Lytechinus pictus: one gene and its partner. The main gene of each other region encodes a partner of the protein of the gene in region 2 in a complex. Links are inferred from orthologs where the notes say so. Each region holds a gene or a part of one and is shown on either strand. Other genes may lie near its edges. The genes, in order: phenylalanine--tRNA ligase alpha subunit-like and phenylalanine--tRNA ligase beta subunit-like.

Region 1 (16,079 bases), on a different chromosome or scaffold from region 2:
GCAAGTCCCTGATACTTGCATTTCATTGGTTGATAATGAAGTTGTGTTTGATTGCATCTCTTTCGGTAACAGGTCCCTGTAAATGCAGTTTTTAAATGTTTTTTACTCTTCTTTTTTATGAGTGCAAATTATTTCAATTGAACTGAGCAATAGCACCATCAATAACAGAAGTGGTAGCAATGGTAATTGGCTATATCTCGTCAAAGAGTCCATGCTGACATTCTGTATGAACCAATCCATAAAGAACATTAATCAATTAAAAAGATTTACAGTGCTAAGAAATGATAATGTTGCAAAAGTCTCCCTATTTCGGCTTGATACAAAATGTAAGTATTACAATCAGTAAAATTCAAAATAGCCCCATGCATGAAATAGCATATTTCCATGTCATGGTGCCACTAGCATTATTATTAACACCATTTCAAAACAAATTTATATAATATTTTACCTAGTTTCTTGAAAAACTCATAAATGACGCCAATCAGGTCACCTAGAGTTAAATTATAATCGGCAACTAGTCCTTCGACCTGATGGAACTCAGCTAAATGGGTGGCATCCAAACTCTCGTTCCTGAAGACTCGATCGATTGAGAAGTACTTTACTGGTGTGAATGTCTCCTGTACGATAATGATATGAAAATATTTTAATGCATCAACATCAGAATCATAGTCATTTTAATCATCAACATCATCATCACCAACACAACCAATATCACAATTCCAAATCATCCCCATCACCACCACTAAAATCATCATCATCATCATCATCATCACCATCATCGTCTTCATCATCATCACCCCCATCACCACCACTAAAATCATCATCATCATCAGCATCGTAATAATAATAATAATAGGCATTTATATAGCGCCATCTATCTAGAAATATTCTATTCCGAGGCGCGTTGTTATTATTATTACCCCGGCTTTAGCTCAAGCTGCCTTTCAGCGCTCATGCATTCAAGGAATTAATCCTGCCGGGTACCCATTCGCCTCACCTGGGTTGAGTGCAGCACAATGTGGATAAATTTCTTGCTGAAGGAAATTATGCCATGGCTGGGATTCAAATCCATGACCCTCTGTTTCAAAGTCAGAAGACTAATCCACTGGGCCACAACCCTCCACATCATGCTCATCATCACCATCATCATCATCATCATCATCATCTCTTTATCATCACCACAACCTCCTCCTCATCAGCATCATCATCATCATCATCATCATCATCATCATCATCATCTCTTTATCATCACCACAACCACAACCTCCTCCTCATCAGCATCATCATCATCATCATCATCTCTTTATCATCACCACAACCACAACCTCCTCCTCATCAGCATCACCAACAACTACATCCTCCTCTTACAACTACACACACTACATTTCCAGGAAATGTGGATTTGATCCCTTAAATCCTTGAGTAACCATATACATTCAGCAGGTAAAAGCAGTTTTGCATTGAATAAACACATACAAAGAACCCAAACAATGACTGTCCACATGCTGATATTACCTGTTGTCCTAGTTTATACAGCATCCTTGTACTGACAGCAGTGGTATGTGTTCTCAGTATGTTCTTCCGAGCTTCCTCTATCTTCCAGTCATACTGGTATCTATGTCCAAACAAAAGTTTATCAATGTAAAAACGTTTTAAAATAGCAGAAAGCTCAGTAAAACAGACAACAGAGGCTTTTCTCGGTTGTCTTTGGGTGAACTCAATGTGTTGTATTCTGATAATTTAACCTAGGTTTAACCCTGGTCTAAACTACAATTTCAGACCACACTGCTATGGAGTGCTTCATTATACTTCTTCCAAGTTCATGGCAATCATAATGTATCAATTAATTCATCAAAATTCTTAACATTTTGGTAGTTAACTATTCTTCCCAATTCACAACTCAATTATTTTTTGACAACTTTTTGCAGCAGAATAAGAATAATTTTTAACTGATGAATGAGTTGACAACTGGTATTCCATAAGAGTGTGGTCTAAGTAAACCCGGGTTTAACTAAACCATGGCTATCAGAATACCACCTGTAAATACGGGAAAACCCAAATACATTTCCCAAAATTTGAGAATTGCTGCATAATAAACAAACAGATAATAAACATAGAAAGCATACTAAAGGCACAATTTGTTGAAAATTCCCATGAAAACATCCCATTCTAAGCAAAATTGTCATTTCGATGATGGATATCAAATAGAAAGCAAAATGATCAAACTTTCATAATTTCACCATGTCTTATAACTCTCATCTCCAATGACTTCATTATCCTTGGAACCATCACACAAGCATGGTTCCTTAACCCTGTGACAACTGAATTCTAGGATTCCCAAGGTATTGAACAGGGATCATCTGGTTCAAGGAATCAACAGGTTAATATCTAGTTCAACAAGTTCTAGTTCGTGTGGTTTAGTGGTTCGAGCATGGGACTCATAATTGCATGGTTGTGAGTTCGAATCCCTGCTCTGCCATTGCGTCCACTTTGATTTAATAAAAGACCCGAGAGTAATATCTGTCGTCTATAACATCAGCCACTATGTCTGATTTTTAAACTTAAGACGTAAATGTTTCCTATGTAATTGGTTATATACCAGTTTGGCGTTTACCAGCCAAAAGCTGTCCTGTCGGGTTCCTATGGGAGTTACCATAAACAGAAACAAAAACAAAATTAAACTAAACATGACCTACCCCTGTGAGCCATAGCCTCCCTTGGAATGTACTGTCTTTACCCTCTCAAGATAGTCCATGGGAAACTGCGTGGCATTAGCAGGATCTGCCAACAAATAAAACATGGAATATTAACAGCTATCTACCGAATATACCTACTTCAGGGCTCTGAAGGGTCAAAAGCTTTAGGCATAGGATTTCTATATACACCTCTGCCTGTAGATACTATACCTTGCCTGTGCAATGCAATGGGGTAATTCCATAAAATAATTAAAAAAAATTGGTAAGTCTGACCTCCATTTCCCTTTTCACTTGAAGTGCTAAAGTCATGATAATTTGTATTTTTGAGCATAAAAACTTTTAATTTCAACTAGGAACCAGAGACAAATTATTTCAGGATGTCTGTTATGTCATGTAATTGACCTTAAGCAGATGTACTTAATGATTTTCAAGTTTGATGGACCTAGGATTTTCACATGGGTGTTACAGTTACTACAAATGATTACCTTTGATAAACACTGTATCATGGTTATCTCTAGCTGGATGTTGCTGAGATTAGGAGAAAGAAAGCTTGATAGATAGATGGAGGACATATAGACTGACTATCTCTAGCTGAATGTTGCTGAGATTGGAAGAGAGAAAAAGCTAGATATATAGATAGATAGACAGACAGATAAATAAACAGACAAAAAAACAGGCAGACATTAAAAAAAAGATTACCTTTGATAAAGAATGTATCATGGCTATCTCTTGCTGGATGTTGTTGGGGTTGGAAGAGAGCATCGAAGTTCCAGAAAGAACTCTCGATGAAATTATTGGTGGGCATCTCGGTAAATCTATGATTACAAATGAGAGATGAAACATCGTAAGAAAAGCGGTTTGGAAGGAATAAATTTTCAACAAAAATATACTCCTTATTTTCATACAAATCAGCATCTTATGCATGATATTACCTTCACTTTTTTAAACAGCATGAACTGATTTTTAACAAATTTCTGAACATCTTGACAATAAACTTAATATTATATAAATAAATTGGTATTTTTGTTGTTATATATTCTTTTGCTCTCTCTCTCTGCCTGCACACATATGGAATAAATATGGCTACTACCAGGAATGCATCATAGTCAAATATGCAGATCTCCAAATATGTAATTTCAATTAATGAACAAGGTCTAGCACAAATGTTACTGCATTTAAAACAAAACTCAAAAGTTCACTTGTATTTATGTATGCCAATTAATCACATAATTCATTTCCACACCCTTTTCCTGACCCCCCCCCCTCCCCTGTAGGTTTACTGTCTTATTTCTTATGTATTGTTCGTATTTATAATAGTCACTTTTTCACTTTTATGTACGTTTATATATTATGTATTGGGTGTCCCACTCATCAAGCTTTTGCTTTTAGGGGCACCCTAATCATTTAAACTATATTGTACATTAATGTATGATTTGTATATTGATTTTTAAATGATTGAATAAAATGAATTGAATTAAATTAAGATTGAAATTTTCATGTTTAGCATATTAATGTGTGGTGAGTTATGCTGATTAAATTGATGATAACAGAGTAAGTTCAGCCATACTGAAATATCAAAATATATACCAAACAAAATTAATATCCTGGGACATACCTAAACATAAATAACAGTCATGGTTCAAGAAGAGAGTGGAAAAAGGAAAGCTTATAAAAATGGGTTATCAATAATCATGCATGTGTACATGAAATGTTACAATTTCTTACACAAAGAATGGGATTAAGTATGAAATAAGTGTGGGGGCGTCGTTGTCTAGTGGTTATGACTCTTGACCTTAAATCTAAGAGACGTGGGTTCGATGCCTAGCAATGGTGTGTTTGCCTTCAGCAAGAAATTTACCACATTGTGCTGCACTCAACCCAGGTGAGGTGAATGGGTGAAATGCAGCGCAAGTAACAGCTGCTCTGCCAAAGCCAGGTTAATTATCCTGCATTACTGCAGGGCTAAAAGACTTCTGATAAAGTAAGTGTTAAACAGTATACATGTATATGCAAGTATAATTATTATTATTGCAATTTCAGATATTCGATTGCATATCATATAAAATTACTTATATTATATAAAATCAAAATTAACTTTAAACTCAATGGCCTGTATTCTGAAATTAGATTTAAATTAGATTATGGTCTAACTCTGTGCTAAAATTATGGGAAGCCAAAATGTCTAAATTTTGTTTAATATGTTTCTTATCTTTATTGTGCCATTTCTCAATTCTTTAATGATAATGACAACTCTCTCATTTGTCCTTTCAAGACAATTAAAAATGATTTGAGGTAAAATGAACTGATACAATCAACCTCTTTTTTAGATTTATGTAAAACTTTGCTATCCATACTTAAACCACAACTTTAGACCAGCTTTTAAATTAAACTCAACTTCAGAATTCTGACCAATGAACAGAACCCAAAAGCAGCTTACCCCATTTCCAAGAAGATTTGTCTGAACTGTGACCTGACCTTGAGAAGTGGATGAAGGTGACCTGACGGGATCGTGACCCCAAGAGCTTCAAAGTTATAATCCTTGAATTTATGATCCTTCCATGTTCCTCTGTGAATACAACAATTTTATCAAAAAGCATTAGAACCGATGTCTTGCTCGAATGGTAGAGCATCCATCTCACAACCGGGAGGTCGGGAGTTCAAACCCCGGCCGCGTCAGACCAAAAGATGCTAAAAGATGGAAGTTGCTGCTACCCTGTTTGGCGTTAACAAATAAAAAGGATAGAGCTACATCGGTCTGGTGCTGCACAGCGGCTGCCGGGCCCACGATTAATTGGGCAAAACAAATATTTAGAGGATTTCTGTTTCGAACAATAAAAGATGGATTTTCGATTTGGATTAGCGATTCCGTTCCTCGCTCTCTTGCAAAAATAAGTAGAAATGTCTGTCAGAAGAGAGGCTTGCAGGTATACAATAATGTATGGCCTGTCATAACCTTTGACATAATACCATGTGACCCCTGAAGGCACCATAGAACAAATATTATCAAAAGGTTTATTAGAATTTTAATATTTCAATTTGTGATGTCATATGCAAGCAGCTTCCCCATATATTGTGTAGTAAAAAATCAATAAAATGTAATTTTCCCTTAAAATTGATAATAGAATGGTTTATATTGCACTTTCAGTATACCAACAGACAAATGATTTCACACCAGCTCCTGAAAGGCATCATGAACCATCAACTAATTGAAATTTATGCACTCTTCCATAACACATGGGTAAGCTGCACATATAAATGACGTCACAAATCAAAAACTTAACATTCTCACAACTTTCTTATTATTCTTTGATGGATTTTCCTCAAACCTTCACCAATATTGTTTGTTTTCTGGTAAATTTATAATAAATTTTTCTTCAGGGTAAACTTCCCCTTTAAAGGGCCCAGCCACTGACAAATCATGGGGAAATTGAATCAATACAAAATTTTCAAAAGGCCAATTGACTTGCATAATATAATCCATCCGTCATGAGCACCCGTCGGACTAATGCGATAAAAGTTCGGACAGCACAAATCTGATAGAACCCGTGATGGTTATTTACTTCGGATCATCGCAGTTCCAGTTTCCAACAATCCCAATTCCTAGACTCATAGCAGGTCTCTTGATTGTAAACCAAAATAAATAACCTCTGGAAGTTACATGTTTCAAAGTGAAAACATGCAGTTTACTTCTGTTTGGTTAATCTACTAATTATTGCTCTCCTATAGACCTCCCAGACATGCCGGCGTCTATTACATAACACCCCCAGGCATGCAGCCGAGTGAAAGACTTGAATCCCTTCTCTGTTCTGAGATAAGCCTTGATTTCCCCAGGATTTGTCAATGAAAGGTCGCTTTAAGATCACTACAATGTCAACGCTCACATACTTCATGATCATATCAGGAGTAAGATCGGTCTCTGGTTTCTGAATTTTTGTGCTGAACTCTTCTCCCTTCTTGATCAAGAAAGTATTTCTTGTCCTGTGAATATATATATAAACAGAGAAAAAAATAACAGTATAAGCAATAGAACAACAACAAAGTAACAAAAAATGGGTGTATAAAAATAATGATAGTAGTAGTAGAAGAAGTAGTAGTAGTATTAACAACATCAACAGCAACAACAATACTACTACTAATAATATTAATAATAATAATAACAATAACAATAATGAAATAATAATGATATTGGAGAGGAATGGAAGCCTGCATAACCAAGATCTCTCCTCATCTCCTGATGTACGACATTCAGAAGGCAGCTATATTGGGTACAACCAGATTGATAAGAAAGACTCTTGGACATTAGTAGTAAAAAGTTCTTAGTTGCACTTGAAATTACTTAGTGCTTTTTGTTAGAGCAAAGTTATTCAAGAAAAAATACAGACTTGATCCTGTTTAGAGGAATAATGATATTGATAATTATAATAACAATAATAATAATAATAATAACAATAACAATATTAATAATAATAATATTTATAACAATAATAATAATATTAATATTAATAATAATAATAATAATAAAACTTACACTTCAGTAATGAGTTTTCTCTTCTTTAGTTCTGCCCTCTCTTTATCTGTTATTGTTTCTACGTTCCCCTGTCTGATTCGTTGGAGCTGTAACTGTACTTTATCTTCTATGGAGGAGACCTAAAAAAGAAGAACATTACTGATAAATTTTCATGGTTCAAAATAAATGATTATCAACTCATAAAATCCTTGATTAATCTCCCCACATGCTGGAGACTGAAAGTCATTGGGTTCAAATCCCAGCCATGGTGTAGTTTCCTTCAGTAAGAAATTGATCCACATTATGCTACACTCGACCCTGGGCCCTGTTGCATCCAATGTTAACTCGTATCGAATCCTTGATTTTGATAGGTTGTTGATCAGCGTTACCATGGTAGTTGCCATTGGATGGCAAAGCTACCATAATGGTAACTTTAATGCAATGGGGCCCTGGTGAGGTAAATGGGTAGCTGGCAGGAAATTATTCCTTGAAACGCTTCAACACGTAATATCCAAGTCCTTTAGAAGCGCTTAGAGACGTTATGATAAGGTGATAATGCACTATACAAGAACTATCTGTTATTATTATTATTATTTACTAAGTTTGTGCCAATCGTAACGACAACAACCCAAGAACTTTTGATAACTCTGTTGATATTACTCTGTACGCGAGAACCATATTTACATTCATTAACCTCTTATCAGTCAATATTTCATAAATCCTTTTTTGCAGTGGGATCATTTCTCTGCAATAATATCAAATGCATATGACCCCTTTTTCCACAGCATATTTCTCTCTGTAAATCTGTGCCACGTTATTAAACTCATCTCCAGAATACCCAATCTTGTGGTCAAAATAGCATAGCTTATTCATATAGGAACACTTTTCTTCCATATTTCTTAAATTTTACATTGACCTAGAGCTGTAACCTTCAAATTTCTTATTGACCAAAGCCATCCTACTAACATTTCTTTGCTAAATCTAACTAGTGGGAACAGTTCTTCAACAATAATCTTTATTCATAACATATCAATTAATCTTTGTCGATCTTGCTTACCTTTCTCAGAACTCTTGGACCACCTTGACATTTCTTGTTGACCTCCAACCATCCTGCCGACATTGCCTTGCTAAATCCTATTTTAGCATTCGGAACAGTCTTCTACCATTAATCAATTCATAATAATGCAATCAAAATCAAAGTAACACAGAAATGCCAAACTCACATATATACAGCTTTGAAATATTCTAAGAGTTAAATATGTGTTGTTGTTGTTGTTGTTGTTTTTTTTTTTTTTGGGGGGGGAAACACTCTTATTCATTCTTTCACTGCAATAGATAGTAGAGTATTACTGGTAATTTGCGAAAAAGTTTGGGTTTCTTTTCCCCATAAAACCATAAACATTTTTTGGCAAAAAGGTAATAGAGGAAAAAAATAGTAAAAAATGCTGGGATTTTAAAACTTTTTTGATACATTTGATAGAAATAGGTAAGGATTAACGATGGATCTGGAACAAAGTGTAGAAAGGGTAGTGAAAAATAAATCAGAATTTATGGGTCATGGTTTGGGAAAAGAAGAGAACGTTGAGCCTGATGGTAAAAGACTTTGAAGTGGGCAGTATGAAAAAACAAAACAAAGGTGTCATAAAAGAAAAGGGTAAATTCAAATTAATTGGGGCTGTCCTTCTAAACAGGCATAAATGGAGGTACTAAAAGTATTTTCAGTCTTTACTAAAAGATGATATCAGCTCATATTTGATTACATGGCTACATGCCTTTTAATGTAAACCATGAATCAACTATTCTTACTCTATATCATTTGACGTGATCTACAATTATGTATCACAACAAAGTTCCTGCACCCTCCCATAAAACACAACAAAACATCAGAATAAAACAACAAAAATCATCTAGGTAATGACGATATAGAGGGCGCTTTCGAGGTGTTAAGACATCACTCTAGCATCCTCTCCATTACGGAATTAATATCTGGAAATATCGCGAAATTGGAAAACCATCAGTTTGTAATCTTTAGCCTACGGAACTGTTTTGGATCATTGATATTACTTATCTTGGTTTTAAGGATCTTTTGGCTACGTATTTTCATATATTTTGGGGAGTTTAACTGTTTGACGTATGTGACACTGAATGCGTATAGGATACACACGCACTATATATGCACATAAAGCAACGCCACGCCCAGAAACACACATGCCCAAAGGCCCCAAGCCCATTTTTCTACGTGTGGATGATATCAGGAATGACGAAAAGAAACATGTCACAGGTGAGGAAAAATACGTTGCCTTAGCCAAAACACTCAGTCTAGACAACATAGTGGGAATACAGCAAATTCGCCGTTTATGGAGAATTTATTTGAACTCCCATGAAGACCGCGTCAATTTGATATCCAATGGACTGGTAATCCGCGGAGCAACCGTCGCAATCTACGATGTGAATCCTTTCACAAGGTCTAGGAACGAAAACCTCACCAGAGTGACCGTGAAAGATATCCCGCTGTCTGTCAGCGACGAAGTCATACGCAGTGAGATAGAAAACCGGAAATGCGAGATTCAAGGAGATATCTATCGCCAAAAACTGAGAGTGAACGGTCAACTTACAAATTGTCTAAACGGAGATCGGATATTATACATTACCCCACCAACACAACCGTTGCCTAGGAAAATGTTATTCGGGACCAACTTCATGGGACGCGTGTATCATCTTGGACAACCCGAACACTCCGGTGCAGCTGGCCCAGTCACATGCTCCAGATGCCTTGAATCGGGACACCATGTATCCAGATGCCACAATGATGTAAAATGTCACCTTTGTAAAAACGCTGGTCAAATGAAGAATGCCTGCCCACAAAACAACCGCGCACCTGGGGGGTGTTTCATCAATATTTTCGTCCGACAACTGTCAGCGCTGACTAAAATTGTCAGCGCTGACAGTTTAGTCAGCGCTGACAAAAATTCGTTTCATCAAACTCTCGGAGCTTCTCTGACTATTGTCAGTGAATTTTTATTTTACAAATCGTCTTGAACGAGGTTCGCTGACTAATTAGGCCACGCCCACTCCCAAAGTTGTGAAGAAGATGTAAAATTGGTTGATGTTTTCGCCGCAACGATTCGAAGTGAAACGAAGAAATAAGTAGAAGCGAAGGTCCCCGAAGAGGTGAATGAGGATTTTACCGTAAGTAAAACCCTTCAAAATGTCGTTCATATTGTATGTAAGGTGATTGAATTATTCGTTGTGCGTAATTATCAAATGAATTACAAGAAAAGAGAATCTTCTGGCAGGACCCCTGTCGATACGATTGATAAACTTGACAGCACATAATCCAGTCTAGTCCCATACCCGTGTTTCTGTGTCTGTAGAACTATCTCAGGACCAAACTAACGACACGGCTGTCCATACACGTTTTTATGATCCGCACATGGCTGCAATTTTATAAATTTTGCAAAGAGAATACTTTATATTGTTCTACCTTTATGTCATTCTATGTTACATATCATAATTTTTAATTTCCTTTGGTTTTGTATTGATTTTGTTGCTCGGTGTGGTCGGAGATATCCTTGATCACCAGGCAAACCAGCGTGTGTAATTGTTAATGTACACATATCCAATGGGGCCATCCCAATTCTGTGTTACAGATATTGGAATTGAACAGGAGCTAAATCACATGGTAATAGCTTGAGTGGTAATTTGGTAAATTGGATGTTCTCAACTTATTTATCATATAGCATAGGCTTAGCAAGTCACAAGTCGAATGAAGTGAAGGCTCTCGACAGCTGGCAAGGATTCAGGGGGGGGGGGGTGATGCGATTGTGGCAGAGCGGAGAGGTGCGTTCACACCCAATAAGAATTGAAATCTAGGACTTATTTAAAAAAATTAGATCCAACTTCCAAGTTTTAAATGGTGCACCCGGCCCGTGGCCATACTGGTATAGCCTGTAGACCTAGATCTATCTTAAATTTTCTTTGACTTTGCACACCCACGTGAAATGAGCCATTGCATAGCTCCCTTTAAAAAAAGATTGATTGTCCAAATTGGGGGGAGACGATATAATGCTCCTCATTTGTGTGCGATTATGAAGTTTGTTTTGCTTTTATTTATCTTAGTCATTTTTTAAAACAAATTACTATTTAGCATCCTATAAATTTTGACACTGAATCTACAATAGCATCAGTGTTATTGGGGTAAATAAATTAAACTATTGTTGATAATGTCTCTTAATCTATTTTTTGAAAAATATTGTCGTACCACATAAAGTCGTACCACATAAAGAGTCTAGTCACACCCAACCTTAAATAGCATGTAAAGGTTAAAGGTCTCTTCATTAGAAAAAAAATATAGGAGAATATGTAATGGATCTCATCAATCCCAAGTATTTTTCTGCCTTGAATCTCATTTTAAAGTTCCTTTGAACAAAGGTCACAGTCCAGAAATAGTTGACGGTTTGATGGGGATGCAATTTGCTGCAGTTATGAATTAGGAGCCTATTCATATTTTTTTATTAATTTTATCTTGGCTTTTAACCGGCAAGGTATCCAAGCGCTATTGGGTTAGAAAAAAAAAATCTTTTTATATTTGAATTTTAAAAAAATATTGACAAAACTGTTTTACTATTTGTATGGTTAATGTGTTAATGACCGTCTTGTTTATAATCAATTGAAAATTATATGAATTAAAAAGGATAAATTGTTGACCGTTTTTTGGTAAATTCTATAAATTTCAGGATAATAAAAGAAGAAAAATGATTGGTATATTTGATCATTCCCCTTTATGAAATGTCAACAATATTCATTGAAAGTGCAGTATTTTTCAATGATCACTGTGTAAATCTACATAATTTCTTTGCTACATGTATATCAATGTGATATTATTAATATTTTAATTTCAGACTATGGACATTTTAACAATATGCAGAAGGAGACGGGTCTGGAACTAGAAAGCTAGGCTCTGACTGGTCTACTACAGCAAGGAATGTGCCAGCGGCCAATCTGATAAACATGTGGCAGAAGATTTGGCAGTGGGTGAAGAAATACTGAGATTGAAATGCAACCACAGGTAACATGTAGACTAGTAAAATGCGATAATGATTACAAAATAATGGATATTTTTTGGGTTGCAGAATGTTAAATCATTAAAACCCACATCAATGACAATGAAATCAGACTTTAATCAGATTTTCTATTTAAAGTCAGTTTATAATGCAAACATTACATAAACATGAAAGACATATAAAATAATCAATATGTTTTGCATGTTAGCTGCAGGGTCAGCGGAACGGTTTTGAAAGTGAGGGGGCTTAGCCGAAAGTGGGGGGGGGGGGGACTGACCATGCAAAAAATCATTAGCAGATGGTCAATTTTGAATTTTTGTACATGGTTTTGGAAAACAATGTGGGGGCTGAAAAATGTAAAATGACCATTTGGTTATGATGTTTTGCATGGTCAGCTCGCTCACTTTAGAAACTGTTCCGCTGACCCTGCAGCTAACATGCACCCCCCCCCCCCGTTTCCGCAGCCCCTGCTCTCACCCCTCAATCCATTTATCACTACTTTCTCATGTGTATGTACATCCCGGGGGGGCCACTTCCATTCACGAGTGGATACCATGCGCAACCATGGGGTCTCGAAAAGCACCCTAAACACGTAATTTCCATATTCTGAAAATGCACCCCTTAACAAGTATTGGCGTGTGAAACCCTACCCTTAACAAGTATTGGAAACAAAACGATACTCTTGGCAAATATTCCCTGAAATGAACCCCTAAACAAGTACATGAATGTTTTATTGTTACGGGTCCTTCGGTCGTCGGCTTTACCTTATTTGGTTTAGTACGACCCACCTTCTACACCTCGCGCAAATTGGACTCTAAACACGAAGTGTTAGGGCAAAAAGGACATCTTTATAAAACATTTTAATTTTGTTTTATCATCCCCGCGAATTCGACCCTAAACACGTAATTGTCCCAGCGAAATAGATACCCTTTTTTCATCATTTTTGTGTTTTTGACACCCTTATCACGTTACGTACGTAACGTGCCCTATCGTGAAAAAGACATCCTTTTTACGTGTTTTTTTGGTCGCGCATGGTATCCACTCGTCAATGTAAGTGGCCCCCCCGGGATGTACATACAAGCTACATTGTGAGGAATAATTTCTCTATTTAAGTTTCTCAGCCAGAGCATGTCATTTATTATTGTTTGTAGTTTTAATTAACATAATAAAAACTTGAACCCTTATTTACCCCCTTCTATATGAAACCTGTATGGTTATCAAAAGATGTTTTATTTCCTGTTTTAGACATGTACATATACATGTGAGAAGAAATACACGATTATGGCAAATATTTTAATTAGTTATTTCAATGCTATTTTTCCTTCAGGTGGAGGCTTCACCCAAACTTTTCAGACAGACATGAGATGCAAAGTTACCAAAGTATAAATGGTTGAAGGTTTAGGAGAGCAAGACAAGAAGGCATGAAATGTGATGTCACTTGTAAGGTAAAACACTCTTAATTATTACTGCCTCATTTTGGCGAAGAAAGTAAAGTCACATTAAAAGAAAATTAAATTACCGGTACTGTTCTCTTCTTTAATTGGTCTTCTACCAGTCAATATTTGAAAACAATGACATCTATAAGTGCTTAGATGCTTAAATTATTAATGGTGATATTTCTTGGACAGTTGTAAAACAACAATATCAATCAATGCTAGATGGTGTGACTTGCTTTCTATTGCCAAAGTAGTAAATGAATGTTCCATTGTTCTGCATTTATATTAGACCCCCCCACACACACACACACCATCACCATCTGCTTTGTCAGGGAGGAACACCGGAAGATTACCCCAAAAAGAACACAATTTCTTTTATATCTCTTGTAGGCCTGTATAAATCAGATAAATGTAATGACTACAGAAGCAGTCATTAAACCTCACTAATTCAAATGATCTTGGTATGGGGGGGGGGGGGGGTGTGCCCCAGGATCTTGCCTGTTGATTGTGCACTCACTTCAGAAATCAGCAGGTATGATGTTGGTTTTTTATTTATAACATGACTCTTGCATGAAATCAGCATTTTGCTTTAAATCAAGAAATAAAGACCAAATGTGATAGTTTTGGATTTTGACTCCATTTCTTTGGTAAACCAATGAGAAAAACCAAAGTCATTAAAATCAATTGTGTATGCATGTACATTTTAATAATTTTCTTATGCATTACTTTGTTTAACTTTTTTGTTTTTGTTGTTTAATAAGGCTTTGGTGACAATACTTTTACCATTTAGAACTTAAAGTTATTATTTGAAACATACAATTTTTTTAAAAATTTAAGTTTTAACAATGATAATTAAATTAGGAATAAATGACTTTGATATAAATAATGATGGAAATTAATATCTTTTATTAGTAAAATATCACATGCTCTATAAATCAATTCCATTTCAGTTACTTCAATAATCATGAACAGCAGCAGGAGCAACAACAGCATCAGCAGCCGAAACCACAACTGCAGTAAGAGATGCAACAACCACACCCACAACAACAAGAGCAGCAGCAAAAACAACAGAAATTCCAGCAACCACGATGACAACAGCAGCAGCAACACCAACAACACTAATGAATATTGAAAAACTTGTACAAAAGTCAATGAGGTCACAGACATTTTCAGACATTATTGATTAAAAAATGCACAATGATTTATTCGGGTTGAAGAAAAGAACATAAATGTTTTTAAAAATGTGTACATTTGAAGGTGTTTCCTATCAAATTGTATCAATTAATTTATGAAAATATAGCTTTAAAGATAAAAATATGATGCTTGAAATGTCTACTTTTTATTTGTCATTGACTGAAAATAAATACATTTTCTTTGAATTTTCTTAATGAAATGAAAAATAAGCAATTTATTAAAATGTTATATTCAAAATCAACTGAAATTGATAAATTTTAGCTGCTAAAGTCCATAAAAGGCTGATTAGTCGGTGAAAATAAGTTTTGTCGGTAGGTGAAGGCCACCGACAAAATTAGTCGGTGGTTTCCAATAATTTGTCGGAGAAAATCACCGACAAATTTTGATGAAATGGAATTTAGTCGGTGATGGCAAAATTGTCGGTGAAACTGAAATTAGTCGGTGAAAATCACATTTAGTCGGAGAAAACCACCGACTAATTGTTTGATGAAACGCCCCCCAGGTAATCACATAGCAACACCTCGCACTTCACCGCTACGACAACTCAAGGATAGCGATTCAACGCAGTCTGTCGATTCTGCGAATCCAAGCAACAGGCAATCGTGCGATCGAAAGTGAGATGGATCGCAGAGGGAGAGAAAAATACCAACTACTTTGCAAACTTAGAAAAAAGAAATTACCAACAGAAATGTATATTTCGGCTCCAAACAGATACAGGTATTATTTTTAATTAAAAAAATATTCTTGAAGAAGAAAGGACCTTTTATGCTAATTTGTATTCATCTCAAGAGAACATTCTGAATAGGAATATATCAATGAAAAACTTAAATATACCAACTGTAAATGAGAGTGACATAAATATGTTGGGATCAATGATAACAGAGAAGGAGTGTTATGATTCGATTATGTCTTTTGCAAATGACAAGTCACCAGGGAGTGACGGGTTGCCAATTGAGTTCTACAAGACTTTTTGGAATGAAATAAATCCTTTACTATGTTTAGTTTTTAATGAAAGTTTTGAAAAAAATATATTACCTCATTCAATGAGGAGAAGTATTATTACACTGTTGCCTAAAAAAGGGAAAAATTTACTTTTACTGAAAAATTGGCGTCCAATCTCTTTATTAAATAGTGATTATAAGATTCTCGCAAAAATAATTTCTTTCCGAATAAAAAAAGTAAT
Region 2 (15,645 bases):
ATACAGTCAAACCTGTGTTAGTGGCCACTTCTCTGTAACAGCTGCCTGCCTATAGTGACCACTGAAACAGATTCCCATGGAGGTAGATTGTGAATAACAACCTGTCTACAATAATAATAATAATAATAATAATTTTAATTATAACAATAATAATAACAACTACAACAACAATAATAATAGTAATAATAATGTTGTATTTTATCCAGGGTAGCCACTTCAGTTCCGAAAACTGTTCTCCCAGCGGGCTCTGCTTCACATGATAATGTTATTATTACGCCTGATTAAGCACAGCTACCTTAATCTGGCGCTCGAGCATTCAAAGAATTTCTTCCTACCCATTCATCTCACCTGGGTTGAGAGGAGCAGTGTGGGTAAATTTCTTGCAGAAGGAAAACATGCCATGGCTTGGAATCGAACCCACGTCCCTAAGATTGAAAGACGAGAGTCATAACGTCTAGACCACGACGCCCCTACTATAGCGGCCACCTGTCTATAGAGGCCACATTTTGTGTTTCCCTTGGGTGGTCACTATAGACAGGTTTTGATGTAGGTTTAAAGACATGATAGAGGTGCAAGTTTTGTACTGCATGGAATTAGTACATGTCACTAAAGAGTATGGAATGTGATGTTTCAAAGAAAATCGAAGACCATGGAATTTACATTATAGAAAATAAAAAACTGGGGTCTCTACAATGTATGCAATTAACGGCTCTGCTCCACAGTACAATATTAATCTAATTAGCAAATACACTCCTGTCAGGTCCCTACGTTCATCCAACTCTGGTTACCTAGTTATTCCCAAATCCGTTAAGACATGGGGGGGGGGGGGGTTCAGGTTTTTGCTCACGCTGGCCCTGTTCTCAGGAATGATCTTTCCCTGGTTATCTGTTAATGTACTTCCACTGACACATTTAAACGTTACCTTAAGACTTGTCTATTCAATGCTTCCTACTCTTACTTGTTCCTGAATCTATCACTATTATATTTGTACTTTTCTCTTTCTTTCTTTCTTTCACTGCGCCTTAGGCACTCTGCCGAGTGGATTTGGCGCATTACAAATCACACATATTATTACTATTATGTTCTTACCATTTATGATTGGAGGCATGGACAGGACGACACCGTTGCTATCCTTGATGATAGGATAGACAGGCTTGTCTCTGATGATAGGGAGGTATTGACGTAGATGGCTGTCTGAGGAATACATTTCCATCTGCTCTACAGCTGTGAATGCCTTGACCTGGTTGAAAGGTCAGAGGTCACATGGTAAAGGTCAGAGGTAAAATGGTTAAAAAGGGTAACAAGTGGAACGCCTCTGGCAGTCTCGCCTGCATTACGTTATTTGCGTTAGTATTATACCAGCAATGCTGACTTTCAAAATAGCTATTAAATAATTATTTATAAATGAAAACACTCATATGATAATAAAATACTATGTCCATTTACCCAACATGACCTGAAACTTAAACAGGATCTTTAATGATACACTATCACACTTATGTCCAAGTTTCATAAACTAAGTCCATACACTTTCGAAGTTATGACGACATTTCGTAAACTTAACCTTGGTTAAAATTTCGATATTGATTCCCCCAACATGGTCTAAGTTCATTGACCCTAAATGACCTTTGACCTTGGTCATGTGACCTGAAACTCAGGCAGGATGTTCAGTAATACTTGATTACCCTTATGTCCAAGTTTCATAAACTAGGTCCATACACTTCTAAGTTATGATGACATTTCAAAAACTTGGTTAAGATTTCAATGTTGACGCCGCCGCCGTCGCCGTCGGAAAAAACGGCGCCTATAGTCTCGCTCTGCTATGCAGGCGAGACAAAAATGGGTTTCAATCAACACTTTCCAAGATGTTACATGAGAGAATAACTGTTTGTATAGTACATTTCCAGTTGTTCAGTTGCTGCCAAAGTGTGAATAATTTGATAAAGGGCTTTCGTTTATTCATTACTCAATTATGACAATATATTGGCATTAAAAATCTAATAACAAAAATAATTTGAAATTCCAGTGTCTCAAAATTTGATACTCTTGAGATATAGCCCCGGAGTAAACACTGATCATGGGCCAATAGCATAAAACTTAGCGTTTTGTAACTTTGCTGTCCATTATAACCACCATAGTAAAACTGGGCAACTGGGCATAATAAAATGAATATTTCTGAGGAAGGCATCTTAATTGGCAAAGTTTCCCTAAAATGCATGTTTGATGCATCCAAACATAGAAATAGGGAAACAGCCCCACATCTTTCCCCTGCTTCAAAGACTGACCTGGTTTAGAGGAACAAACTTGATTTGGTGCGGGGGTTGAGCATCGAAGTAGAATGGCCCTTGGATTGTATCCAGGTCATGGGTTCCCATGGAAACCAAGCTTCTTTTCCTAAACGATAATCATGATATTGGAGAAAAGAATCAGCAATATGCTTGCATTTGAAAAATATGGGAGAGCAGTCCTCATCAGGGAGGGGCCAGGGAACAATTTCTTTTAAAGGGGGGAGGCAAAGCCCCCTAATTTTTTCAGTCAACTCTATTTTTTATGCACATAATCATCAGGATTCTGTATTTTTTTCCTCTCCCAATTCCTTTCTTCTTTCTTTCCCTTGGGGCAGTTATCAAATACTACATAAACAGCGTACAATGTGTCCTCATAAATGGGATAGCATTCTGGGTAGTCATCAACATATCACAATGACGTTACCTAGATTGTGATTACAGCTTTTGAAAATTCATCACTCTCACTTAGCTCCAACTTACCTTCCTAAATTCTGATGAAGTTTATCTTGAAGATCAATAAAGCTATCATAGGTATCTTTATTGAAGGTGATATTTCTCATGATGGCTGCAACAGCATAGGGCCTCACTTGAGCTGTCTATCAAGAGCAATTCAATGAGAGCAAAATGAGAAGGAAAGGGATGCTAATTATAATTCACAATTGAAAACAAGAGAGGTATATTAAAGGGTAAATAATTCAATTCAATTTTATTTTTTCTCTGCATAAAACGAACATATGATAAAATACACGAAGAACAAAGTATACATAACATCACAGATATAAGTTAACAAGAAAAAAAAAAGCATTGAAAGGGAAGCAGCCAAGGAGAAAATTTTCTTGTAATACAGCCGACCCAAATTACTTTAAAAAGAATAAAAATCATTGACAATATCAAAAGTTACAAAATATATAAAACAATTAGAAAATATTACAAAGGCATAGAGACACAAGTGGTAAAACATTAAAAGGGAGATTTGAGTGAGAAAACTATAGCAATAGGGAAATGTGTAGCCTGTCTTCAAAACAGAGCAACGTAATAAGATTTTTTAAAAATCACAGGATTTTAACAATACAAATTGTTGGATACAAGTCATCACGATCTGCCCTACTATTAGATCATCAAAACATTCAAATGCCTGCTAACACATCTAGTTTGTTTGTTATTGACCTACTGTAGATTTGATCGTTGTTTTAGCTTTTTGATTTACTATACTGTATATTTTGTATGGGATCACTGTTTTTTCAAGCCCATCCCCATTTTAATTGTATATATATGCTTTTCATTTTATGAAATTAAAATTGAATTGAATTGAATTAACCCCAAACTGTTATCAAATTAGTGAATTGTAATGAGTTAAGTTAACATTAGACTTACCGCTGGTTTAATGAACATTTGTTGAAGAGTTCCCTGTTTAGGTGAAATAGCCCTGTATCGCGGTGCTTCCATTTTTTGAAGGAAAACCAGTAATCCTCTGGAAAGGCCCTCAAGACAAAGTAAATCATATCTGTTTGAAAATAAAAAATATCATGGAAATAAAGATTCATTTTTTTCTGAAAGAAGAGAATTAAGAATATCTATGTAACTAACTACAATATGAAGCATGAATGAAAGTGAAGTAGCTCAATCTTGTTTTTCGTTTCTCCTCTTAGTCTTAATTCCCTCTTTCCAATATTATGGTCTCCTTAGGTTTTGCTTTCCTTTCAGTCAGTTTGTAAGTCCAATATTATGAATTTTGTAACAGGTAATTAAATTCATGCTTATCACTAAGGTTACAGAATTAATGAGCCAACTGTTTGAGCAAATTAAAGGTCAAGTCCACCCCAGAAAAATGTTGACTTAAATGAATAGAGAAAAATCAAACAAGCATAACACTGAAAATTCCATCAAAATCAGATGTAAAATAAGAAGTTATGACATTTTAAAATTTTGCTTATTTTTCACAAAACAGTTATATGCACAACTCAGTGACATGCAAATGGGAGAGTTGATGATGTCCATCACTCACTATTGTTTTTTTTATTGTTTGAATTATACAATATTTCAATTTTTACAGATTTGACAATAAAGACCATCTTGACTGAACCATAAAGTGTTTAAACTGGTAATTCCACATATTCAGGGAGGGATAAAACTTTGTTTCACAATCATATAACGAAATACAGAAGAAATAGTGAGTGAGTGATGTCATTAGTCCCCTCATTTGCATACCGACCGGGATGTGAATTTAACTGTTTTGTGAAATTAAGCGAAACTTAAAAAGGTCATAACTTTTCTATTTTATAATATCCGATTTTGATGAAATTTTCAGTGTTATGCTTGTTGGATTTTTCTCTTTTCATTCAAATCAAGTTATTGTTGGGGAGGACTTGTCCTTTAATCACAAGAAAAATTGGCTCATCATTATAAAAACAATCAGGTTTTTCTGACCTGTTTGCAGGTACATCAATTTTGTAGATGACAACATCTGAAGCTCCCTCTGCTTTATCTGTTCCTTGTTCCTTCTCTATCATCGTCTTCTCTGAGGTCTGGAAACAATATAATTTGTAGTATTAGAATTGGTTGGAGGTGGAAGAGATGCAGGAGGAGGAGGAGGAGGGGAGGAGGAGGACGGGGATCAGTGATAAGTGCTAGGAATGTATAAAGCAAAAGCATTTGGACATGAGCATGCATTACAAATGACTCTTGTTAAAACTGAATTAATTAGCATAGCAATTAGTGGTGCAATGCTAGGCTTTACTACAACCCATTGGATAATAAAATACGCAAACACTGTACTGTAGTTTACAAGTTCATTAACACCAGTCTAAATATTTGATAAAAAGGATAAAGATTAAAGGAAAATGAAACCTTTGAAACAAGATAGCTTTTGCAAAAACAGAAAAATCAAAGAAACAGATCAACAAAAGTTTGAGAAAAAATTGAATAGATAATAAGATATGAGCATTTGAAGTTTAGATCATTATTGTAATGTAGATCCTCCCATTGGCAATACGACAAAGATGTGTGATGTCACGTGTGAACAACTTTGCCATTACTTTTGTATATATATATATAACTTTCACTGCCTCTTTGTATCACATCTGGCAGTAGATCATGTATTCTTTCTATAGGAGGGCACCTAACACAGATTTTCAAAGAATACTTTATGGATAAAGAGTTTGTATCACCATAAGAAAGAGCAAAAAAGAGACATCTTGGGGGCATTTTATAGCCCATCAAAGGGAAAGTTGTTCACATGTGACATCATACATCTTTGTCACATTGTAAATGGAAGGATCTCCATAGCATTAGTAATCGCAATATTCAAATGCTCATAACTTTTTCGTTATTTGTCCGATTTTTCTCAAACTTTCTTTCATCTTATTCTTTTATTTTTTGGTTTCCACACAAGCCATTTGTTCCAAAGATTTCATTCCCCTTTAATATAGAGACCAACTTAAGAATAAAACACAAATAACAAAATCAAATTATTATAGAAAAGAGTAATTGAAAAAAAAATTACCACTTCATCAAGTTCAAGGCCATATTCAAAGCAGAGCTCATCAAATTCTTCATCAGCTGTGAATGTAAAGAAAAACAAAAGAGAAAAAACGTTAAAGAGTAGGGTGTTCATCATCCAGTGTATTGCACCTGCCGGTCCCTGGCGAAAATCTTCAGACGGTAAATTCAACTGCCATAATAATCAATACTACGATTGTATTTATAGACATAAACACAAGACAATGCAATGAAGTAGAAATCTATTAATCTTGTGCCTTAATTAAACAAAGTCAAAGCATGATAAATTAAGAAGATGTAGCCTCTAGGCCTAGAAAGACTTTAAAAACGGGCAGTGAAATTGGAAATTGGCATGGTACGAATTAGACCAAAAGCTTCGGTCTCTGTTATGTTGGTTGTTACGCTGAACTCCGTTGGCTCCACTCACCAAAAACAGAGACCGAAGTTCTAGCTCGATCTGTACAGGTACTCAATGGCCATATATTTATATATTAACTTAGGATAAAACAGGGAAGTGAAGTTGCGCGACAGCCGAAGTAAGTCACTGTTTTTTCCCCCTTTTAAGTTTATTTTTCTCTGTTTTGGTGCATTTCAGGCCAAAATGGAATAATAATCTTTATTTTGGTACAGATTTTATATATTTTTATGAAATAAAGACAAAAATCGATGAGCCCTGTCGGGGGGATTTTGCATTGTTAACCCCCTTATGGTGGCTGCACGATAGCAAGCCATCTGTGACTGCGTACGAGGAGAAGTATAAAATAAAATAAAAATGTAAAAAAGCTCCTCGAAACAGACGGCTGCCGGCTGCCAGCTGTAGCTGTCTATCTAGGTACGAATAGTACAAGTACGAGTAAGGGAAGAGGCCAGGCCGGGAGGTTTGCATAACAGCCACAGTCACAACTAAGTAGGTCTATCATTAGACAAGATCATTTCGAAACAAAAAAAGTCAGAACAATTAAAAATAAAAAAATGTTGTTCAATTTGTTGGCTGTTGCGCGCTTGCGATGTCGTGTTTGTACCGTTTCTTTTCTAGTATAGTGAGTGATTGTATTACCGACCGGCCTTGTATTACCGAACGCGCGCATTGACATAAGCATCAGAAAAAAAATTCATACATTCAAAATTTCGCAACATCCTTCCAAAAGACCAAAGAGAACTTGAATAGAAAGATGATGAAAAATGGTCAAAAACACATTTTCAAAGTCTTAATATTCTAAAAACAATAAAATATGGTCAAAATAGCTCATCAGTGATTTTGTTGTTTTCTCAACTTTTCCCATAGAAAACACACGTTCGGTAACACTCACACGTATTGCGAGGTTAGTATTAGTATACTAACCTCGCACCACGAACCGCGTTTGGCAGTGGATTTCTAACTAGTGGGTCGCGCGTGCTGGGATCTCACTTCTTGGGTCCACAACACATGACTTCTATGGCTTGAATTTTCTGTGCGCGGCGGCATGTAATGAACCCTTGGGTGGTTCGGTAATACTAATTACGATACCTTTTTCAAGTGACCAAAATATTTCACATGCGAAGAGGGGTCCGATTGGAAGCAAAAATCGTAAAAAGGAAAAACTATTTCGGCAAAAATTTTACATATTTATATTTTGTAGGTAATTGTGTATTCATGGTGAAAGTTTGGTGAATTTTATGAGAATAGTGTGTTTGATATGATTGAATTCATGAAAAGTGTTCGGTAATAGTAGTACGATCCACTACCATACTAGTAGGCCTAGTATTAATATTTTTTCATTGTTCTAGCTCGCTGGTAATGAATAAAATGGAATATTTACAACAAAACATTTATATATATTTTATTAGCTTTTATCATTTGAAAACAAAGCACAATCTGATAGAAATGCCACTTAAATCGTTAAAGTTTAGCGAGTGTGGAACAGATCCTTAACTAACACTAAAACGAGTACATGGGGCTACAGTACGAAGCCGTTGCGCTCGACTGGCGACACACGGTGGTTTGTTATTTTAATTTCTCTACTCACTATAAGTTCTCCCTAAAACCTCAAAGAGAAGATCCCTTTTCACACCAACAGTAGGCATTTCGATGGCAGATATTCAATAAATACCAGAGAAAGTCAATTAGTGTGATCCGTTCGTTCGAAATGATGCAACGTGTGGACGACCAGCCCCTTTTGTCTGAATATTTCGAGAACATTAATTAAAAAAGAGAGACCTATGCTACTTTTGAAGTAACAAATCTTGAATAAAATAATTATTTTCTTCAGGGCGTTGCACAGCAAGCATGCAATCATAAAGGTCCATGATGCAATCAAACTTCGCGTAAATCTTATGCATTATCAATTTCAATCATTGAGGCCTACAGTAAGTATATATATACGTAGAAATAATATCAAAATTCTTGTTTATTTACTTACTTATTTGTTCAGAGACGGCGAAGCGAAGTTGAAAGTGGGGGCACATGCAGGAAAAGGGCACTATCCGATGGGTAAGAGGGGCACTGATTCGAGTAAGGCCACTTACAACAAGGCAAGTGTACTCGTTAACGCCATAAAACGGGACCTTCTCAGGCTAGGCGGAAGGGGCACAGAACACGTTCATGAGGGGGCATTTTTCTTGGGTAACTAAGGGCACTTTTCAGTGCTTCTAGAAAGTGGGGGGGGGGCACTGTGCCCCCGGCCCCCAGCCCCCAGGATCACCGCCCCTGTATTTATTTGTTTTTTTTTATTTACCCAGGTAACAACACCGGTGAACTATACCCTTTAAGCACTGTTTTTCTTACATGGGGCCCTGTCATGGGCCTTCTCGAGAAGAGGTTGTTTCTGTTGGCCTATTCATTTTCTGATGGGGTGACGCTATCTGAGGGCACGGGTAATCCCCCTATTACTTTTCAAGATAGGCTTAAAGGGGAAAAAAGGGGAGGAAGAAAAGGGAAGAAGGAAAAATAAAACTGTCGAAAATAATCCCTGTTAGGCCCTATATAGCTGAGGAAAAATGAGTCACCTTTGACACGGGTCGTGTTAATTATTTCAAGGAGGGGCGACGTTAGGCCTACTGCATCCATAGTAGTATCCTATTTAATTTGGATGATTTCCAGGGGGGGGGGGGGCAAGTCCATCACGAGTGGATACCATGCGTGACCATATGGTGTTTCGAAACTCACCCTAAACAAGCATTTTCCATGTTCTGAAAATGCACCCCTTATAACAAGTATTGGCGTGTGAAACTCTACCCTTAACAAGTATTGGAAACGCGGTACCCTTGTCAAGACTTGTAGTATATTCCCTGAATTGACCCCCCTAAACAAGTACAACGATATCTTAAAGGAGAATGAAACCCTTGAAACCAGCTGAATCTATATCAAAGAGAAAAATCAAAGAAACATATTGTTGAAAGTTTGAGCAAAAAGAGATGTTTTGGGGTATATTTTCAGTGTCCAAAAGGGGAGAGTTGTTCATCTGTGACATCATAGATCTTGGTCGCATTGCCAATGGGAGGATCTCCATAGCATTAGTGATCTCGATCGACATTCAAATGCTCATAACTCTTCTATTGCTAGTCCTATTTTACTCAAACATTTGTTGATCTTATTCTTTGATTTTTCTGCTTTCACAAAAGCTAACTTGCTCCAAGAGTTTCATTCTCCTTTAATTGTTTTGTCACGGACGTCGGCTTTACCTTTACTTTCATTGGTTTAGTACCACGTACCCAAACACCTCGCTCAAATCGGACCCTAAACAAGTAGTGTTTGGAAAAAATAAATCCTTTATATAGGTCTATTTTAGTCATTTCATACCCTCGCAAATTGGACCGTAAACACGTATAGTTTTCCTAGCGAAATATATGCCCCATTTCATTATTTTAGTGTTTTGACACCCTTATTACGTTTCGTACGTAACGTGGCCTATCTTGAAAAAGAGATCCCTTTTCCGTGTTTTTTTTTTTGCCTCACACATGGTATCCACTCGTCAATGGAAGTGCCCCCCCCCCCGGGGGGGATGATTTCACATTTTCCACGAGAAATAAAAATCAGCTCTGCATCATTCGAGAGGAAAATGTGATATTTCATAATGAAATTGAAAAAATAATTCATGACTGTGTGTGTGTGACACCTTTCAGTCTCTCTCATTGCGTATCGTATGTGATGCAATGACGAGGAGGTTCTCCGTGGTCGTAGTAGCTAGCTCCATGATCACACATTCAGCGGAAATGAATGTTGATGTGACTGAGTGGTACAAAATGGATCAGCGCCACCTTTTGTCGGCCTGCAAATTATTCACTTGGTCATAATATGGACCTACTATGCTCATAACTACAACCGGAGTGCATTTTCAACATTTCCATGTTCTTCCCCATGGTAAGTTCTTCTTCAAAACTGAAACTTCGTTTCACTGCCATTCCAAAAGGCATGATGATTGAGACATACTTTATTTTTGCAAAGTCGATTCCATTTTATGAAATCAGACTTCCAAAAAATGGGGGGCTGGGGCTATAGTGAGTTCCCATCGTTAGAAAGTCTTCTCTGCCCCCTCTCTCTCTCTCTCGGGGGGGGGGGGGGGGGCGTGTCCCCCTGTCCCTTCTGGATTGACACATGCGTGGGTCTACCCCTCACGGTGTTAGCCACTCCTCCGGGGGGGGGGGCACTTCCATTGACGAGTGGATACCATGCGCGACCATGGGGTCTCGAAAAGCACCCTAAACAAGTTTTTCCCATATTCTGAAAATGCACCCCTCAACAAGTATTAGCCTGTGAAACCCAACTCTTAACAAGTATTGGAAACAAAACGATACCCTTGGCAAGTATTCCCTGAACTGAAACCCTGTGGAGCGTTGTGGCCCAGTGGATTACTCTTCTGACTTTGAAACAGAGGGTCGTGGGTTCAAATACCAGCCATGGCGTAATTTTCTTCAGCAAGAAATTCATCCACATTGTGCTGCACTCAACCCAGGTGAGGTGAATGGGTACCTGGCAGGAATTTATTCCTTGAAATGCGTGTGCGCTGTAATCTTAGTAATTACGGCTGCCAAGCTACAGCTGGGGTAATAATATCCAAGTCCTTTGGAAGCGCATAGAGACATTGTTCATAATGTGATATGCGCTATACAAGAACTGTATATTATTATTATTACATAAAAGCAGCGATATTTTAATTGTTGTATTCACTGACGTTGGTTTTACCTTTACCTACATGTACATCATTAGGTTTAGTACGGCCCCACCTCCCACACCTCGCGCAAATTCTAAGGCTTGTTTGAAGGAATTCACTAAGACCATTCGTATTTCACTATTCAAATGATGCGAGCGCGAAGCGCGAGCTGAAAATTTTGATATTCGGATCAGACAAAGGGACATATAAATGACTGATTTTAGGAATTCATGAAGAGCAGACATACTTTCTCACCAATCCACCAATGCGAAGTTAAGCACGGAAGGAAATGTTTTATATTAGGACCTTAAAATGGGGCAATCACTTTATGTAGCATATGTCACTACATAAAACAATAATAATAAAAGTGCGAGGAAATATATTTGGTGTATATTGACTTGAAAACGGGATGTTTTAGTACAACAGGATTATACAGGTCCATGGTTAAACAGACAATGCGAGCACCAGGAACAGTGAAGACATGGGCCCTGAGCAAATTATGTTTCATAAAGTTATAAAAAAATGTTTCTTATATAATATAACATAATTATAATATAATATTACAATAAACAATTTTTTATTTCCCACTACGTTTCTCTTCCTTTCTCCCTCTTTTTCTCCTTTCCCCCGTTTTTTTTGCCAGCCGATTTGGGGAGGCACGTGCCCCCCATGCCCCCCGTAGTTACGCCATTGCCTGCTTTTATTGTACTTTTTAAAATATGGACTTTAATTGATTTATATTCAGGACCGTAGTCTTTCTTGAGGGGCGTCCTTTTTCAAGAGTTTGTGCTTATGACTGTCCCCTCCCATGCAATGATTGTTTATTGTTATTTTACCGTGAAATATTGTCAATATATTTTATGTTGTATGATCAATTTTTTGCATGGAAATAAAGAATCAATCAATCAATCAACCCGCATTTCATGTACAAGTGTTTTAAAGCTTACCACAGGTGCTCATTTTCCATGCATTTATTTCTCACAATTTTCTACGGTATGATATTATCCTGCTAAATGCTTCTGTATTTGTTTTCTTTTACAGTGGTCACGAAATGGTTTTTAAATTGGGAAGGCCGGGGGGTGAATCGAAATAAGGACTGACCAGCATGCCAAAAAAAACCCAACACACAATTAGATGGCTAGAATTGGCCACTTTTACGTTTCGTATATTAGTTATATAAAAAAAAGAGTGGGGAGGAAAAGGGGCTGAAGCTCCCCCCCCCCCTCGCTCCCCTATGGTACCGCACCCCTAGATATGTATACGCGAAATGTTTGTATTTATGATGAATGTACTATAAATATAGTCGAAGAAGGCGAAGCCTCATATCAAAGATGGATTTGCATTGAGTCACCGGAGGAGTGATTTTCCTTCTCTTGGATAAAAAATATAGATATTCTGAATACAGTTTAATCAAACCATGGACCTACTAGTAGGTCCATGATCAAACTAACTCAGCCTAACCTATAACCCAATTTTCTACAGATTCTAAGACCATACCACAGGGTGTAAACACAGTAATTGTAAGGGCTCCCAATGTTCAATTCGATAAGGCAAATGCACACTATCTCTATGTAATAATGACCCGCAACATGCACAAGGTCGGCTTCTAATATGACCCCTATTTTAATGACGTCAAAGATCAATCGACATTCACGCCAGGGTGAAATGAAAATAGAACATGCTGGAACGGACTTATCGCGAGAAAGTGAGAAATGTGGAACACATCTCAATTTTCAAACGTCTAAATATGTAATGTTTACATCTAAACAAAAACGTTTCCAAGACTCAGTTCTTGTTCTCTTTGAAAAGCAATATCAACAACAACGAACTCTTCGACTACGACAACGTCCTTTTAAAACCAATCCTTATTTCTTTTCTTTTTGAAGAGTTTATTCCTCCTTCATGTTCTCGTTTGTAACCTGATTAGGCATATATTATTGTCCTGTGATGGGTGATAACTAAACGGAATGGACCCGACCAGTGGCGTTGGCAAGATTTTTGAAGGGGGGGGGGGGTTCAAGATGAATGAAATGTTGACAACCAAAACAAAATAAAAAAAAAATGGTCTTCACCACAAATTGTAAGTCGTTTCGTATCCCAAAACAAAATTGACAAGCAGAAAAAAAAATCTTTAACAAACATTTAGGGGGTGAATTCTTAGGGGGGTGGTTGAACCCCTGTAACCACCCCCTGCGTTCGCCAATGTCTCCCGACAAACTTTGATTTATAAAAGGAGAAACTCGTCGTTCAATACTAATTTTTCACTGAATTTGTAAGACAACAATATTCAATTTTGTTGATCACCGATAAAAGTGAAACAGTTTCCGTTAGTTGTTGATCGCTGAATATCTGAAAACATTCCCTCATAAATTAATTGCTGTATGATCATCTGCACGGGCGGGGGGGGGGGGGGGGTAGATTTCCATCCCATATGATATCGAACAGATATTATTCGAAAAGTATCAAAAGACATATATAGAAATGACAACACATTGCCCCAAGCCTCCTGAAGTTCCACAAACTTTCCATTTCAAATTTTACTTCTAAACAACGTCTGCTATATAAACAGAAGGAACTTTAAATTATTTCCGCCTTTTCTCTTGTCACACCAATATACTTCCCCTTTTCACGAGTTAAAGTCTGCCATATTCAGACGATCAGTCTATTATGTTGTTGATGTAATGTCATCTTGATATCCTTGATTGATATACAAGATGATCCGGGTCATACGACATGAGAAGCCAATTCGGGGGGGGGGGGTTCAGGGAGAGGAAGATCCCCCCAAAATATAATCATAAAAAACAATAACAAAACGTAACAAAATAAAAAACCAGAAAAACAAACAATATCGCATTATATTGAGGTCGGTTTTTTTACTTTGGAAATATGATCCACTTTTGTTGTTTTTTGCCAAAGATCAATAACTTAGCTCTAAAAGGTAATTTTGTAATTACATTATTTGTTTATCTTGTTCTATTATTTATGCAGAAAATGATGGCCCTTCTTTGGCCTGATTTTTGACAATTGGTATCGTGATAAACGCTATTGACTCGTTCTTATTGCATCTATTTTCTACATGCTCTTTGTATTTCCCCTTTTACAAAATGTTGTTGTAAAGCCCCCATCCCTAAAGTCCCATAATCTTATGAACGTCCTTTCATTGTGGAGTTCATAGACGGTCACATGTTCTCTCCATCGAGACACTCTCTTTCCTTGAAAGCCGGGAAAACAAGAGTTGATTCTCACTCAAGCACGTTTCCACTTAATGGATTGCGAGGGATTGGCGATGACAATAATTTGCATGTATACATGGAAATGACTGTGAGGGCCCGTTTCCACTGCCAGGTACATTGACTTTCTACAATTGATGGAATATTGTCCGTTCCCGGGCTCGTTCGGCCTTTCGCACATATATAAATTAGAAATTAAGGTTCGCTGTGCAGAAAAAAAAATCAATATACTTTCTATGAAGTAATCAAATGGGAGGGGGGGGGGCAACGCCTTAACTTACTCTGTTACCAAAAACCACCGATACATAACATACAATATGGTCATATCTGCCTGATGGTAGTGCAAATTTTCTCCTAAAATCAAATGCATGTGATTGTCAATAAACCTATAAACTAAAAAAAAATCCCACAAAGCCAGGGGTGTCCTCGAAAGTATATTGTCTCCCATATGCTGTGTGCTCACTCTGACAAATTCCCGTGTAATATAAATTTTCTTAATCATACCAATATACAATGATCATTTTCAAAGTTCAGAAAACGCGCTTTGTGCGGGAAGGGGGAGACAATTTCTACACATCCACATCATGATTAAATCAAGATTACGAATTTACATAAATTTCTAGCTTATCAGGGCGATGGAAAGACCCAAGACGTCTTATTTTGCTTGAAATGGTATGGTTCTGCGCTTCGCGCGTGAGCTCCATGCACAAATCATCTATGCCTTTGCACTAGCACCGCGGAGGAGCGCGCTTTTTGTGCTCGCACTCACTACGCAGTATGAAATCGCTGCAATAATTCATTGTTTCATGGAGAATCAAACTTCACGCTAGGAACCGACATAACATTTTCATGGATAATTACAAGGATTATATATCCCAACATAATTTATTTGATTAGATGTCCAAACATTTGCGACGATTAATAAAGACGATGTGGGATCGTCGAAAATATGTGGACATTAAATCAAATAAATTATGTTAAAACAAACATGAAATTTTCTATCTTGATTTGATCATATATATTTATATCTGAGCAATATCACAGTCACACAAACTTAGCTGATATAAGTCCGATCAAGGATTTATTGAATGGCTTTGGTCGGATGAAAGCTGGTTCCGTTGCTGTGACTTCGGTGTTACAAGTCTCCACAATGCATGAGAAATTACTACCTGGGAAATTTTGTCTTATTCTTCAAAGTTTAGGTTCTATTTGCGTATTCTAAGCTCATCCTTTAAATTGCTGAATAATGCCAATACATCTCTGATCGTATAAAGAATACTTCCGCAGTGAGTATTGCTTATTACTGCAGAGTCTCTGTATATTTGTCATGTTTATTGTCCATCTAACTAAAATAAAAGGCTCTTGGATTACTCGGCTAATTGGAAAGCGTTTTTGTGTCCCCAATGATGAAAAGAAGATATTTTTACGCAAATATTATTCCATCTTACATTGATGAATACACAACATCCATCCATCTATCCCCGTGAACTTGGTAAATGT

Evidence for each region.
Region 1: the proteins of phenylalanine--tRNA ligase beta subunit-like (region 2) and phenylalanine--tRNA ligase alpha subunit-like are in contact, whole or in part, in a crystal structure (PDB 3L4G), measured with the Homo sapiens proteins. The link is inferred for Lytechinus pictus from reciprocal best matches to the Homo sapiens genes FARSB and FARSA. Residues at the interface, in NP_005678.3 of Homo sapiens: Glu26, Phe29, Gly32, Leu33, Pro68, Ala69, Asn70, Ile150, Arg152, Asp259, Thr261, Lys262, Arg305, Lys316, Lys317, Val318, Gly319, Ile359, His360, Cys362, Asp363, Glu366, Ala369, Ile370, Tyr374, Asn375, Ile377, Gln378, Met379, Thr380; in NP_004452.1 of Homo sapiens: Ser221, Gly222, His223, Leu224, His225, Leu227, Leu228, Arg231, Ser232, Arg235, Leu239, Gly242, Phe243, Thr244, Glu245, Pro247, Asp249, Asn250, Phe251, Ile252, Glu253, Ser254, Phe263, Gln266, Gln267, Phe277, Phe278, Leu279, Arg280, Asp281.

What each region holds. Positions count from the first base shown.
Region 1 is NC_087255.1:20,707,292-20,723,370, reverse strand, and holds the start of phenylalanine--tRNA ligase alpha subunit-like, read right to left. Parts: upstream 8,359-16,079; 5' UTR 8,324-8,358; coding exon 8,261-8,323; intron 7,344-8,260; coding exon 7,225-7,343; intron 6,675-7,224; coding exon 6,582-6,674; intron 5,263-6,581; coding exon 5,134-5,262; intron 3,512-5,133; coding exon 3,396-3,511; intron 2,782-3,395; coding exon 2,697-2,781; intron 1,616-2,696; coding exon 1,516-1,615; intron 618-1,515; coding exon 449-617; intron 1-448.
Region 2 is NC_087258.1:12,217,237-12,232,881, reverse strand, and holds the start of phenylalanine--tRNA ligase beta subunit-like, read right to left. Parts: upstream 7,967-15,645; 5' UTR 7,851-7,966; coding exon 7,793-7,850; intron 5,847-7,792; coding exon 5,791-5,846; intron 4,814-5,790; coding exon 4,716-4,813; intron 3,793-4,715; coding exon 3,663-3,792; intron 2,885-3,662; coding exon 2,769-2,884; intron 2,395-2,768; coding exon 2,286-2,394; intron 1,241-2,285; coding exon 1,090-1,240; intron 1-1,089.